3 linked regions of the Pelodiscus sinensis genome follow. The protein of the gene in region 3 interacts with the protein of the main gene of each other region in a pairwise test. Links are inferred from orthologs where the notes say so. Each region holds a gene or a part of one and is shown on either strand. Other genes may lie near its edges. The genes, in order: KLHL12, SNX22 and DVL3.

Evidence for each region.
Region 1: the proteins of DVL3 (region 3) and KLHL12 interact in binary tests that used the Homo sapiens proteins (3 or more experiments, as listed by UniProt). The two-hybrid records come from large-scale screens. The link is inferred for Pelodiscus sinensis from reciprocal best matches to the Homo sapiens genes DVL3 and KLHL12.
Region 2: the proteins of DVL3 (region 3) and SNX22 interact in binary tests that used the Homo sapiens proteins (3 or more experiments, as listed by UniProt). The two-hybrid records come from large-scale screens. The link is inferred for Pelodiscus sinensis from reciprocal best matches to the Homo sapiens genes DVL3 and SNX22.

Annotation. Positions count from the first base shown.
Region 1 is NC_134737.1:16,710,791-16,714,532, reverse strand, and holds the start of KLHL12 (kelch-like protein 12), read left to right. Parts: upstream 1-1,467; 5' UTR 1,468-2,106; coding exon 2,107-2,289; intron 2,290-3,742. UniProt on the Homo sapiens protein: Substrate-specific adapter of a BCR (BTB-CUL3-RBX1) E3 ubiquitin ligase complex that acts as a negative regulator of Wnt signaling pathway and ER-Golgi transport.
Region 2 is NC_134724.1:36,774,383-36,778,124, forward strand, and holds the start of SNX22 (sorting nexin-22), read right to left. Parts: upstream 2,550-3,742; 5' UTR 2,505-2,549; coding exon 2,397-2,504; intron 84-2,396; coding exon 1-83. UniProt on the Homo sapiens protein: May be involved in several stages of intracellular trafficking. Interacts with membranes containing phosphatidylinositol 3-phosphate (PtdIns(3P)).
Region 3 is NC_134720.1:49,009,347-49,013,088, forward strand, and holds the start of DVL3 (segment polarity protein dishevelled homolog DVL-3), read right to left. Parts: upstream 2,586-3,742; 5' UTR 2,408-2,585; coding exon 2,241-2,407; intron 1-2,240. UniProt on the Homo sapiens protein: Involved in the signal transduction pathway mediated by multiple Wnt genes.

The sequences.
Region 1 (3,742 bases), on a different chromosome or scaffold from region 3:
TTGTGAACTTTTACCGCCAACTGGATAAGAGCCGGGTTCAAGAGATTCGAACATTGGCTAAGAAAATGCTGAGCTTGTTTGGCTCAACATATGTGTGAGAAGACATTCTCTGCTATGAAGTTTAACAAGAACCGCGTGAGGACAAGACTGAGTGACTCTCACCTGCGTGACATTTTGCGCATCAAAACCACTGCCTTTGAACCAGACCTAGCCTATGTGCTGCAGTCCAGATCTCAGTTTCACCCTTCACATTAGTGCAGGCAAGTTTTTTTTCCAATTGAGATGAATACATTGTAAAATCTCAGTTAATGTCCGTTGGTCTAAATCAGTTAAAAATATATTTGGACACAACATGTATACTTGGTGTTATGTTCCTGTTCATATTTTTTGAACTTAAAAGTTGACAGACAACCTTTATTACCAATAATATGTAATGTACTTTACAATGTTCCTGACATATATTTCAGCTTCCTGGATTTTTTTTTCATCTGGCCTTCAGATATGAAAGGCAGAGTGATTTAACACCTGTTTAGATTTGTCATCCATGTGACGAAATGAAAAGTATGTCGTTTGCAATAAACTTTGCGTAAAATAGTTAATTTGCATTTAATTTTAATGGTTCAAAGAATGTCAGGCAAAATGGTCGGCCCTCACGCATGTTCACTTCATCAAATCTGGCCCTCGTTGAAAAAAGTTTGGACACCCCTGCACTAGCCGGTTTCCCAGATGTTGGGTGTGGACCAGCAGGGATCGCTCACTTGATCATTGCCGGCGCCGTTCACACCCTCGGAAGCACCTTGCATTAGTCATCATCCGCAGGCGGGATATTGGGCAAGAGGGACAATCGGACGGAGCGATTCCGGCTGTTTTCGTGCCCTGTATTGTCAATGTCTGGCCGCCGTAGGGGCGCTGAGCGGGGGTCGGGCCGCGGGGCCCCCGGCGCGCTCTGGCCAGAGCCGCGGGAGCCGAGGCGCCGCTGGGAACGGAGCCCAGCGCCAGGCCGGCGGGCTCCGCAGCAGCTGCCCCGGCATCACCTTGGCCGCCTTGACTCTGCCCGCGGCGGGCCGCCTAGGCGGGCCCCGGGCCCGCAGCACCAGCGAGCCCGCCGGGAGGGGACCCGGCCCCCCGCCCGCAGCCGCGCCGCGCGCCTGCCCCTTCCCGCCCGCACTCACCGGCCCTACATCCCGGGCAGCAGCAGCGGCGGCTCCGGCTGGCAACACCGGAAACAGCCTCGGGTGTGACGCCACTTCCGCCAAAGGCAGCACCGCCGCTGTGTCCCACGTGATTCAGGGCACAAGCATTTCCGCTGGGGGCGGGCGACAGGCTGCTGTGATGACCTTCCCCGCGATTGGTCGCTGGTACCCCCCGGCCGATGTGATTGGATGCGTGAGTTAAAAGTGCTTTTCCTGCGCCCTTTGAGCCCTAGGCCTCCCCACGGCTGGGCGCGTGCGCAGAGCTGGCAGCTGCCCACGTGGTGCGTTCTAGCCCCGCCCCTTCCCTGGTCTCGGGGCCTCGCTCACCTGCCACCAGATCCCGGCCCGTGTCCCGCCACCCGCGGTGACCCCCCCCCCCGAGCGGGGCCAGGGGCCTCAGTGACCCCCCCCGTGCCGGGGGAGCGGGGCCTCAGTGACCCCCCCCCGTGCCGGGGGAGCGGGGCCTCAGTGACCCCCCCGTGCCGGGGGAGCGGGGCCTCAGTGACCCCCCCGTGCCGGGGGAGCGGGGCCCGGGGCCTCAGTGACCCCCCCCGTGCCGGGGGAGCGGGGCCTCAGTGACCCCCCCGTGCCGGGGGAGCGGGGCCCGGGGCCTCAGTGACCCCCCCGTGCCGGGGGAGCGGGGCCTCAGTGACCCCCCCGTGCCGGGGGAGCGGGGCCTCAGTGACCCCCCCCCCGTGCCGGGGGAGCGGGGCCCGGGGCCTCAGTGACCCCCCCCGTGCCGGGGGAGCGGGGCCCGGGGCCTCAGTGACCCCCCCCCCCCCCCGTGCCGGGGGAGCGGGGCCCGTGGCCACAGTGACACCCTCCCCCCCCCCCCCCACGCTTCTGGAGGAGCAGGGCCTGGGATCAGAGACTGTCCCCCTGCCCCATCCCGTGCTGGGAGAACAGGGCCGCCATGGCCCCCAAGGACATCATGACCAACTCGCACGCCAAGTCCATCCTGAACGCCATGAACGCCCTGCGGAGGAGCAGTACGCTCTGTGACGTGACGCTGCGTGTTGAACAGAAAGACTTTGCCGCACACCGCATTGTGCTGGCAGCCTGCAGCGACTACTTCTGTGCCATGTTCACCAGCGAGGTAGGCTCTCGAGAGCCACTTGTACATCCAGTAGAACACTCTTGTGCGGTCCTGGAGGGGGCTCATCTCAGCCACATTGACATGGTATTGGGCAAGGGCGCATTTCGGGCACATGGGGGGTAGCAGCTGCCATGCGCTCTGGGACTAGGGTTGCCAGGTGTCCGGTTTTGAACCGGAGAGTCCAGTATTTGAGCTTTCTGTTCGGGAAACAAATTGAGAAAATAGAAATATCTGGTATTTTCTAAATCAGGTGTAATGTAGATTGTGATGGAATGTCAAGTGTGTCTGGTATTTTTGTTGAAACAATCTGGCAACCCTATGGGACATGGCTTGCTTTTCATCCTGTTCCCTGGACGGGAGTGAGGGGAAAGTGCTTTTATTCTGTGCATTCCTTTCACACCTGGCTGGTAGAGCATCCCCTATGCTCCTGGTGGCATCCAACAAGCCTTTGTCTGCCAGTTCAATACTACAGGAGTGCTTAGACCCCCTTGTCCTGAGTACATCCCTACTGGCAGTAAATAGCTATTTAAAAAGTCAATGGGTTAAAATATATAATTGTAACTGTTGAACTTTTACATCGCTAACCACCAGAGGCCATTCTAGCCCTTAATAGCTTGCAGCCTGTCACAGTGAAGACTGAGAAATGTGGGGAGGGGAGAGTGGACTTGGCTCAAAGTTGTCCAGCTGGTCCGTGGCAGAACCAGGAATAGAACAGAGCATTGAGCTCCAGGGCTAGTGCCCTGTCCATGAACCAGGCTCTTCTTCTGACTACTTGCTAGTGATTTACACTAATTGCACATCCTTTTGCAAAATGTTGAAAGGAGATAATGTTTGGCTGTGCTGCAATTCACTGTTTGGTTCAGATTGTTAACTAGCAGTCGTTTTCTGTGCTTTGCTTCAAACTTAATGCAGTGGTAAATAGAAAAAAATGAGGGGAGGCAGAAAGGGGTTGGTCCTGCCTTGGGCGGGGCGCTGGACTTGATGACCTACTGAGGTCTCTTCCAGCTCTATGATTCTATGGATCATGGAACTGGGGTTGTAAAAGTTACATTTCTAATGCCTCTTCTTACACAAAGGCTGTGTCTACTACATCCCTCTTTCGACAGAAGGATGTTAATTAGACACTGTGAAATTGCAAATGAAGCAGGGATTTAAATATCCTGTGCTTCATTTGCATAATTGTGTCATGGCACTCTTCCGAAATGGCGCTTGTTCGAAAGTAAAACAGTCTAGTTGCAGTTCTTTCAAAAACGGCAGGCTTTTTCGAAAGATCCTGTACTCCTTGGTATAGACTGCGGTTTTACTTTCAAAATCGTGATAGAAATGTAGCCATGTTAGTCTGGTGTAGCTGAAACAAAATACAGGACTATGTAGCACTTTAAAGACTAACAAGATGGTTTATTAGATGATGAGCTTTCGTGGGCCAGACCCACTTCCTCAGATCAAATAGTGG
Region 2 (3,742 bases), on a different chromosome or scaffold from region 3:
CTTTTGTGCAGGGCATGGAACTCGCTGTACCGCTTCTCAAGGGTGTGTTTCCGGCCATTGAACAGCACCTCCACCGTGAACACCTGCCAGGCCACAGAGAGACATGAGAGGGGCTGCCTAGCCTCAGAGCAGAAATCCGCAATAAGAGCACCCCCCTTCCCATACCCAGCCCCTTCCCCTTGCAGCCCTCGGGTGGGGCAGCTGCTGGCAGGGCTGGCTTGGCAGTGGAAGCCGCTGTGTTCTCCCTCCCAGGGTGCACTGCAGCTGTGTAAGCACAATCCAGTGTCCGGAGAGCAAACAGAGCCACAAAAGGCTCTTTCAGAGCAGGCTCTGGCTCCGCTCCCGCACACCGGGCAGGGAGGGCAGCAGCTCCCTTCCAGAAATCCCCTCTTGCTGGGCACAGCAGCTGAAAGGCCTCCTGCAACCGACAGGTCAGCACAGGCTCCATCGCCTCTCCTGCGCCCTGCGCACACGCTGCCACCGTCCCACATCGGACAGCGCGCGCTCTGCCTCGGGCAGCACATGCGGAGCCGCCGGCTGACGCCGCAAGGAGGCTGGGGGTGGGCAGGACGTAGCTAGGAGCTGGACCAGACCACCAGGCTCAGCATCGGTCAGCCAAGGAGGGCCAATGCCCATTCATTGCGCTGCCTCACATGGGAATATGCCCCCCCAGCGGCACAAACACACACCCCGGTGCACCAGAGCGAGCATCATGTCACAGCAGCGCAGAGAGCTCCCGCCGGAGGGCAGGGAACCTGGATTAGCACAGGAACTAGTCACAGGGTCGACACAGGGCAGAGCTGGGAATGGCCTTGCAGCATTCGCTCACCAGCCTTTATGTGAGCTTGGGTTTGCTTGCAGGCTCTCCCCCCCCCATGCTCGCTTCTCTCCCCCTAGTGTGGGATGCAGCCCAGACAAAAACAACAGGTGCCAGGCCAGCCATGGTCCTGCCCTGGCAGGGGCTGCAGCTCTCTGGCTGGAGTCTAGCCACTGCCCAACGCAGCAAGACAGGCCCCCGCACCCCGCACCAGAGCCTGGTGCAGAGGACAATCCAACGAGGCAGCCAGGAACTGGTCACAGCCTCCCTGGCCGGGCTGGTACTGAATTACTGAGTGACCCAAGTCAAATCCCAGCTCGGCACCTGGCTCGGAACAGCCTTATCCCAGGCCTGGGCAGCCAGAAAGGGGAGCGTCCAACATCCCCAATTCCCAGGCCAGGCCCAAGGGGGATGCTCGGCCCTTCCTCTTCCGAAGAGGGAACCGAAACCACCCCCACGCACAAGCTGCTCACCGGGACCAGCTCACCGATCCCCAGCCTCCCAGGCGAGGTGCAGGCCGGGGGCAGGGTGACCTGCCTGTGCCCAGCTAGGAGCTGGAGGGCAGGACGGGGCTGCTGGCCCAGCCCGTGCAGCGAGGCTGGCTCCTACGCCGGTCCCATCAGGGCTGCGGGGAGGGCAGCCTGCCCTGGCACACGTGGCTCAGGCAGGCGGGGAAGACGCCGGTGTTCAGGAACCTGTGGGCTCCGTGGATTTGGAAGCGGGAACGACGGGCATGGGGCTGGCTCTGCCCCCCGCACTAGCGAGACCCCTGGATCCAACCCCCGGCTGCTCTCAGCCTGCTGCTGAGGGCCACAGGGGACGCAAAGCAGAGCAGGCCGGGGCCGTGCAAGCCAGAGGGGAGCGTGGTCGCCTGCCTTCCCCAGCAGCTGCCTGGGGACTGTGGGCCGGGGCCAGGGCAGGGCTGTTGGGCCAGCAGGTTGGGAAGCCCCAGTTCCACGGCTGGCCCCACAGCCGGCCCCACAGCCGGCCCCTCTGAGCAAGGCAGGCGCCCAGGGGCCAGCGCAGCAGGGGGAACGGAGCAGAGAGGAAATGGTCTGAAGTCCCCAGCCAGGCTGGCCGGAGTTATAGCCCCCCCCCCGGGGGCCTTGTGCAGGGGGGCAGGCAGACCCCACCCCAGGGACCGGGCTCCCCAGCTCCTCCGCCCTCCCCTGCGGTCACTGGACGGGTTTAACCCCTTCCCTGCCGGACCCGGGGCTGCACGTGTGTCACCAGCCCCCCGCCCCCCGCCCCAGACACGTTACGTCGGGCCGCGCCATCAGCGGGGCAGGAGGGAAAGTTTGAAACCCCCCGGCCGCGGGCGTGGGGGGGGGGCTAGTGACTCAGCGAAAAGCCCCCCCGCCCCTCTTCGGCGAGTGACTGGCCCAGGGGGCCGCTCGCTCCTGCCCCGCCCCCAGCGGGCTGGCCTGGGGGGGGGGCACTGTTGCCCCGCATTGCCCCCCCGGGGGCAGACCTGGCCCCGGGCCGAGGCCAGGCGGGCAGCGGAGCAAGCCCCGGGCCGGGGGCGGCTGCTCCTGAGCGGGGCCCCCTCCCCCCGTGTCCCGGCGGGGCCGCCCCTCACCGTGCGCGTCTTCTCGGGGCTCCGCACGGGCTCGGCCCCCGGCCCCACGGCGGGGATGGAGACCGCGATCATCGCGCCGCCGGCCGGCCCGGCCGCCCCCTGCTCCATTCATCCCGGCCCCGGCCGCCCCGCCCCGCCCGGGACAGGCCCCGCAGCGCCCCCAGCGCCCGCCCCGGCGCAGCGCCTGGCGCCGGGGCGGGGGAGCGGGCGTCCTGCCGGGGCGCTGCCGGGGCGCAGGGCCATGCTGAAGCCCGCCCGGGCCAGGGGTGTCCCGGCCCCAGTCGCCCGCGGGGGGGGTCAGTAGGGGCGCCAGACGAAAGTCCCGGACACACTGGCCATCCCGTCCCAATCCGCATCCCGTGGGCGTTAGACAACCCCGGACAGGTCTCCGGTACCGGGCTGTGGGGTTCAAACCGGACACCTGGCAGCCCTAGGGGTCAGGCTGGGTTTCCCCGGGGGAGGGGGGTGTCAGGGCTACTCCCAGCAACCTGCATCCGCAGAGAACCCCCGGCAGGTGCAGGGCGCAGACGACTCTGGGACAGAGGCCTCCCAGGTACAGTGTAAACACACCCACACCCACACCCAGTGGGGCTGGGACACTGGCAGGTGTCACCGCTCAAGGGCTGGCTGTGTGTGCCCACGGCTGCGCTGGGTACGGCCCCGGGGCCACGCTCCCAGCTCGCCTGGGCGCTGTAAGCGGCTCCATCCCGCCGAGTGTCTCAGCCTGGCCCGCAGCTCGGGGCTCTTCCCCTGCGGGAGAGGGAAGTGAGGCCTGGGCCGGCGCAGACCCCCGGGGAAAGGCCAGAAGCAGCATCCCCGCTCTCCGCTTTCACTTCTTATTTCTGGTAAAGGCTCCCACTGCCGGGACACGCGCAGGCTCCAGCAGCGAGTCCCTGAGGGGGGGTCCCTGCACCCCGCCCCCCGAGAGGCGCTGGGGCCAGGGAGCCAGAAACAGGCACCTTGTGCTGGCTGGACAACTGCAGCACCCGCAGCAGCTGGCTGCACCCCCCTGCTCTGGACTCCAGCCCAGCGCGCCCCCCTGCTCGCCTGGTGCCCCTCAAACCCACCCCGCAGCCCCCTGCTAGTCTAGTGCACGGCTCCCCTTCAAGCCCCCCAGCCAAGGCAGCAGCTGGGCCTCTGTGGGGCCTGTTAGGTACTTAGCTAATCCCTGCTTGTTCCAGGCTTTAGCGCCACTGCTGATGCCTGACTCAGGCAATAGCTGGGGGGAGGCGGCCTGAGGCCAAGTCTGCACTGGCACTTTACAGCACTGCAATTTTCTGGCTCGGGTGTGAAAAGACACACACAGAGACACACCCGAGCACAGGAACAGCCGGCGTGAACAGGCT
Region 3 (3,742 bases):
GTCAGCAAAAGTGCCAACAAACAGCATTTACACATAGCGGCTGTTAGCAACAGGGGTGTTGCTAGACAGACCTTTGGTCTGACCCAGTATAGCCGTTCTTTGTTATGTTGGGTGTGTTGACACAATCTTGTCGCTAAAAGTTGTGTAGTGTAGTCATGGGTCTGGGTCTCTCCATATCATTTCTCTAGTATCTGCAGCTCCTCCCTGTTTTGCTTCATCTGCAAATTTCACTAATCTGCCATATGCCTCTTCTTCTGGATCATTAGTGAAGCTATGAAATAAGACCAGACCTAACACGGGTCCCTGCAGCTTCCACCAGACCCCTGGCTACAACCTGAGACATTACTATATATTACAGTACTATACCTTGTTGACAAATGCAGACACTTTTCCACCTCTAAGGAAGTGTTGCAGTCAAAAATTTAAATTCATTTCGAGAGAAATGTTTCAAAGGACCCCAAAGTATTTCTTTACAAACAACACGCACAGAGAATTAATTTCACTCACCGTGGAAATGCAACAGCCATTGAACAGTACCCAACAATGGGATACAGTAGTTTAGGCACAGAATATGTAGTGCAAACAACTACAATTCCAGAGGGAATGATGGCAGGAAAAGGTACTTAACTGGAATTTGGATAAAAGGTAATACCAACTCATTTGAGAAGTGCCAGGAATCTTTCATGATCATGAACAGCCTCTACATTGGTTCTAACTCTAATCTAAATGCTATCATCTCCAGACCTAACACCAGCTTGGGGCATCTAGGTCAAAAGTGACTCAGTGAAGAACATACCCCTTAACACCGTGATGTCCAACATACTAGCCATATGTGCCTATTTGGCCAGTTGAATGTGACTATTTGGCTGGATGAATGTGGCTAGTTCAGAATTGGTTACACACCACAGCCCTAATGACTCCCACACACTGCTTTATGCAGCACTCAGAATTATCTGAAAGTCTCTCATACAAGCAGTAACCAGGCCCATCCCTGTTTAATTTATGAGCTCTAACAAGGTCATGGCCTGAGGCTGTCTTTGGCTAGGAGGAGTATGAAACTACAGGCCACTTGGAACCCCTAGTTGCACCCTCACAAGTTCTAGTGCAAATGGTGAATCCTGTGAGGAAAACAAACGAAGCAAGTCAGGCCCTGCAACTCTGTGCCAAGTAGGTGCTCTACAAGAGAGGAAGAGCAGGGCTCCCTGGACAGAACTGGGATGTCCACCAGAGACTAAAAAAGAGATGCAAGGAGATGACAGAATGGCGTGAAGGGGGTGTTACTGTTCAGTTGGAGAAGAAAGGATCAGGGGCTCCATAGAAAAATTAAGAAAGTTTCTACATGGCTGGTAGTTCCTTAAAGAAATGTAGATTTTGTTGGGGAAGTGTCAGAAAAAGTAGTCTATGGAGCCCCAAAATGAGAGAAGGAAAGGAGGAACAAATCCCCCAACCTTCTAACCCAGATATAAGGTTTGAGGGTCCTAGAATCTCTCGAGAATGGATTTGGACGATGAGAGTCCCATCTGAATGGCTTTTTAAGAAGCACTGATGACTTCCGTCATTAAAAGAGTTCAAATGCTCCCTTAAATAAGCGCACACAATGGAGATGGAACAGGCATTCCCACCCCAGTACAGGACTGAGGAGAAACTGGAGACGGGTGTTCCAGCCACATACACCCCAGAAACGGGATACAGGCAAGGTGGGAAGGGGTGTTGTCCAACCACCAACCTGGGGATGGAGGTAGGGAGCACTGTTCCCTCTAATTTTTTTCCATCTATGAGCAGAATAAATGTTGTTAGGGGCACTGAGGCATGTGCAGATGTGCCCCACCAGTAGACACATGCGGTGCTATCGGCTGCCAGCGGTGGGTGTGCTGCTAACCAGCAGTGGCATCGGAGTCTCCCCTGGGCAGCTGCCCAAGCACCCAGATTACAGGGAACACTGCTGGGGAGTGTCATCCCCAAACAGCCACCTCCAAGCACAACCTGGGGGGGTGGCCTGGGGGGGAACTGAGGGGGTGCTTGCCCCCCCCAGCACACGCCAGGGATGGGATTAGGCGGCTGGGGGGGGTGCCCAAGCACACCCCAAGGGGGGTATTGGGGGCTGTGGGAGAACACTCCGGGGCAGTTCGGGGCGGGCGGGGGCAGGCACACCCTGAGGATGAGGGGGAAGGGGCCGAGCCCACGCCGGGATGGGCCGGGGGGGGGCCGGGCACCCCCGGGGCGGGAGGGGCCCCGCTCACCCGAAGTCATCGTCCATAGACTTGAAGTAGAACTTGTAGTTGGGCCGGTTGAGGAGGCCCTTGAAGTCGCCCAGGGTGACCCGCTCGGCCGGGATCGGCAGCTTCACCAGGTAGGGCGTCTCCTGCTCGTCCAGGTGGTAGATGATCTTCGTCTCGGCCGCCGCCATGGCGCCCGCGCGGGCCCGACCCGACCCGACCCGGCCCGGCCTCTGGCGGCGCCCCCCGGCCCTTGTTCTCCGGGTCCCAGCGCCGCCCGGCTCACGGCGCAAGCTCCGGCTCCGCCCCGCCGGCCGCGGCCCCGGGGGCTTCGCTGGGCAGCGAGCGCGGCGCGGCCCGGCCTAGCCCCTCACGGCGGCGCGGCTGTAGACACGGAGCCCCCCCAACTCCCCCGCCTCCACAGACCTTCCCCGGCTCTCCACAGCCCCCCCACAGAGCCTGCCTGTAACCCCCAGCCCCCCCACCTCCCTACAGCCCCCCCCACACAGAGCCTCCCTATAACCCCCCGCCCCCCCACAGAGCCTCCCTGTAACCCCCCCGCCCCCCCACAGAGCCTCCCTGTAACCCCCAGCCCCCCCACCTCCCTACAGCCCCCCCCACACAGAGCTTGCCTGTAACCCCCCGCCCCCCCACAGAGCCTCCCTGTAACCCCCCCGCCCCCCCACAGAGCCTCCCTGTAACCCCCAGCCCCCCACCTCCCTACAGCCCCCCCCACACAGAGCTTGCCTGTAACCCCCCGCCCCCCCACAGAGCCTCCCTGTAACCCCCCCGCCCCCCCACAGAGCCTCCCTGTAACCCCCCAGCCCCCCACCTCCCTACAGCCCCCCCACAGAGCCTCCCTGTAACCCCCCCGCCCCCCCACACAGAGCCTCCCTGTAACCCCCAGCCCCCCCACCTCCCTACAGCCCCCCCACAGAGCCTCCCTGTAACCTCCCCGCCCCCCCACAGAGTCTCCCTGTAACCCCCCAGCCCCCCACCTCCCTAGAGCCCCCCCCACAGAGCCTCCCTGTAACCCCCCAGCCCCCCCACAGAGCCTCCCTGTAACCCCCCCAGCCTCCCCCACCTCCCTACAGCCCCCCCACACAGAGCCTCCCTGTAACCCCCCCAGCCCCCCCCACAGCCTCCCTGTAACCCCCCAGCCCCCCCCACAGAGCCTCCCTGTAACCCCCCAGAGCCTCCCTGTACCCCCCAGCCCCCCCCAGAGCCTCCCTGTAACCCCCCAGCCCCCCCACAGAGCCTCCCTGTAACCCCCAGTCCCCCCCACAGAGCCTCCCTGTAACCCCCCAGCCCCCCCCACACAGAGCCTCCCTGTAACCCCCCCAGTCCCCCCCACAGAGCCTCCCTGTAACCCCCCCAGTCCCCCCCACAGAGCCTCCCTGTAACCCCCCAGCCCCCCCACCTCCCTACAGCCCCCCCCACAGAGCCTCCCTGTAACCCCCCAGCCCCCACACAGAGCCTCCCTGTAACCCCCCAGCCTCCCCCACCTCCCTACAGCCCCCCCACAC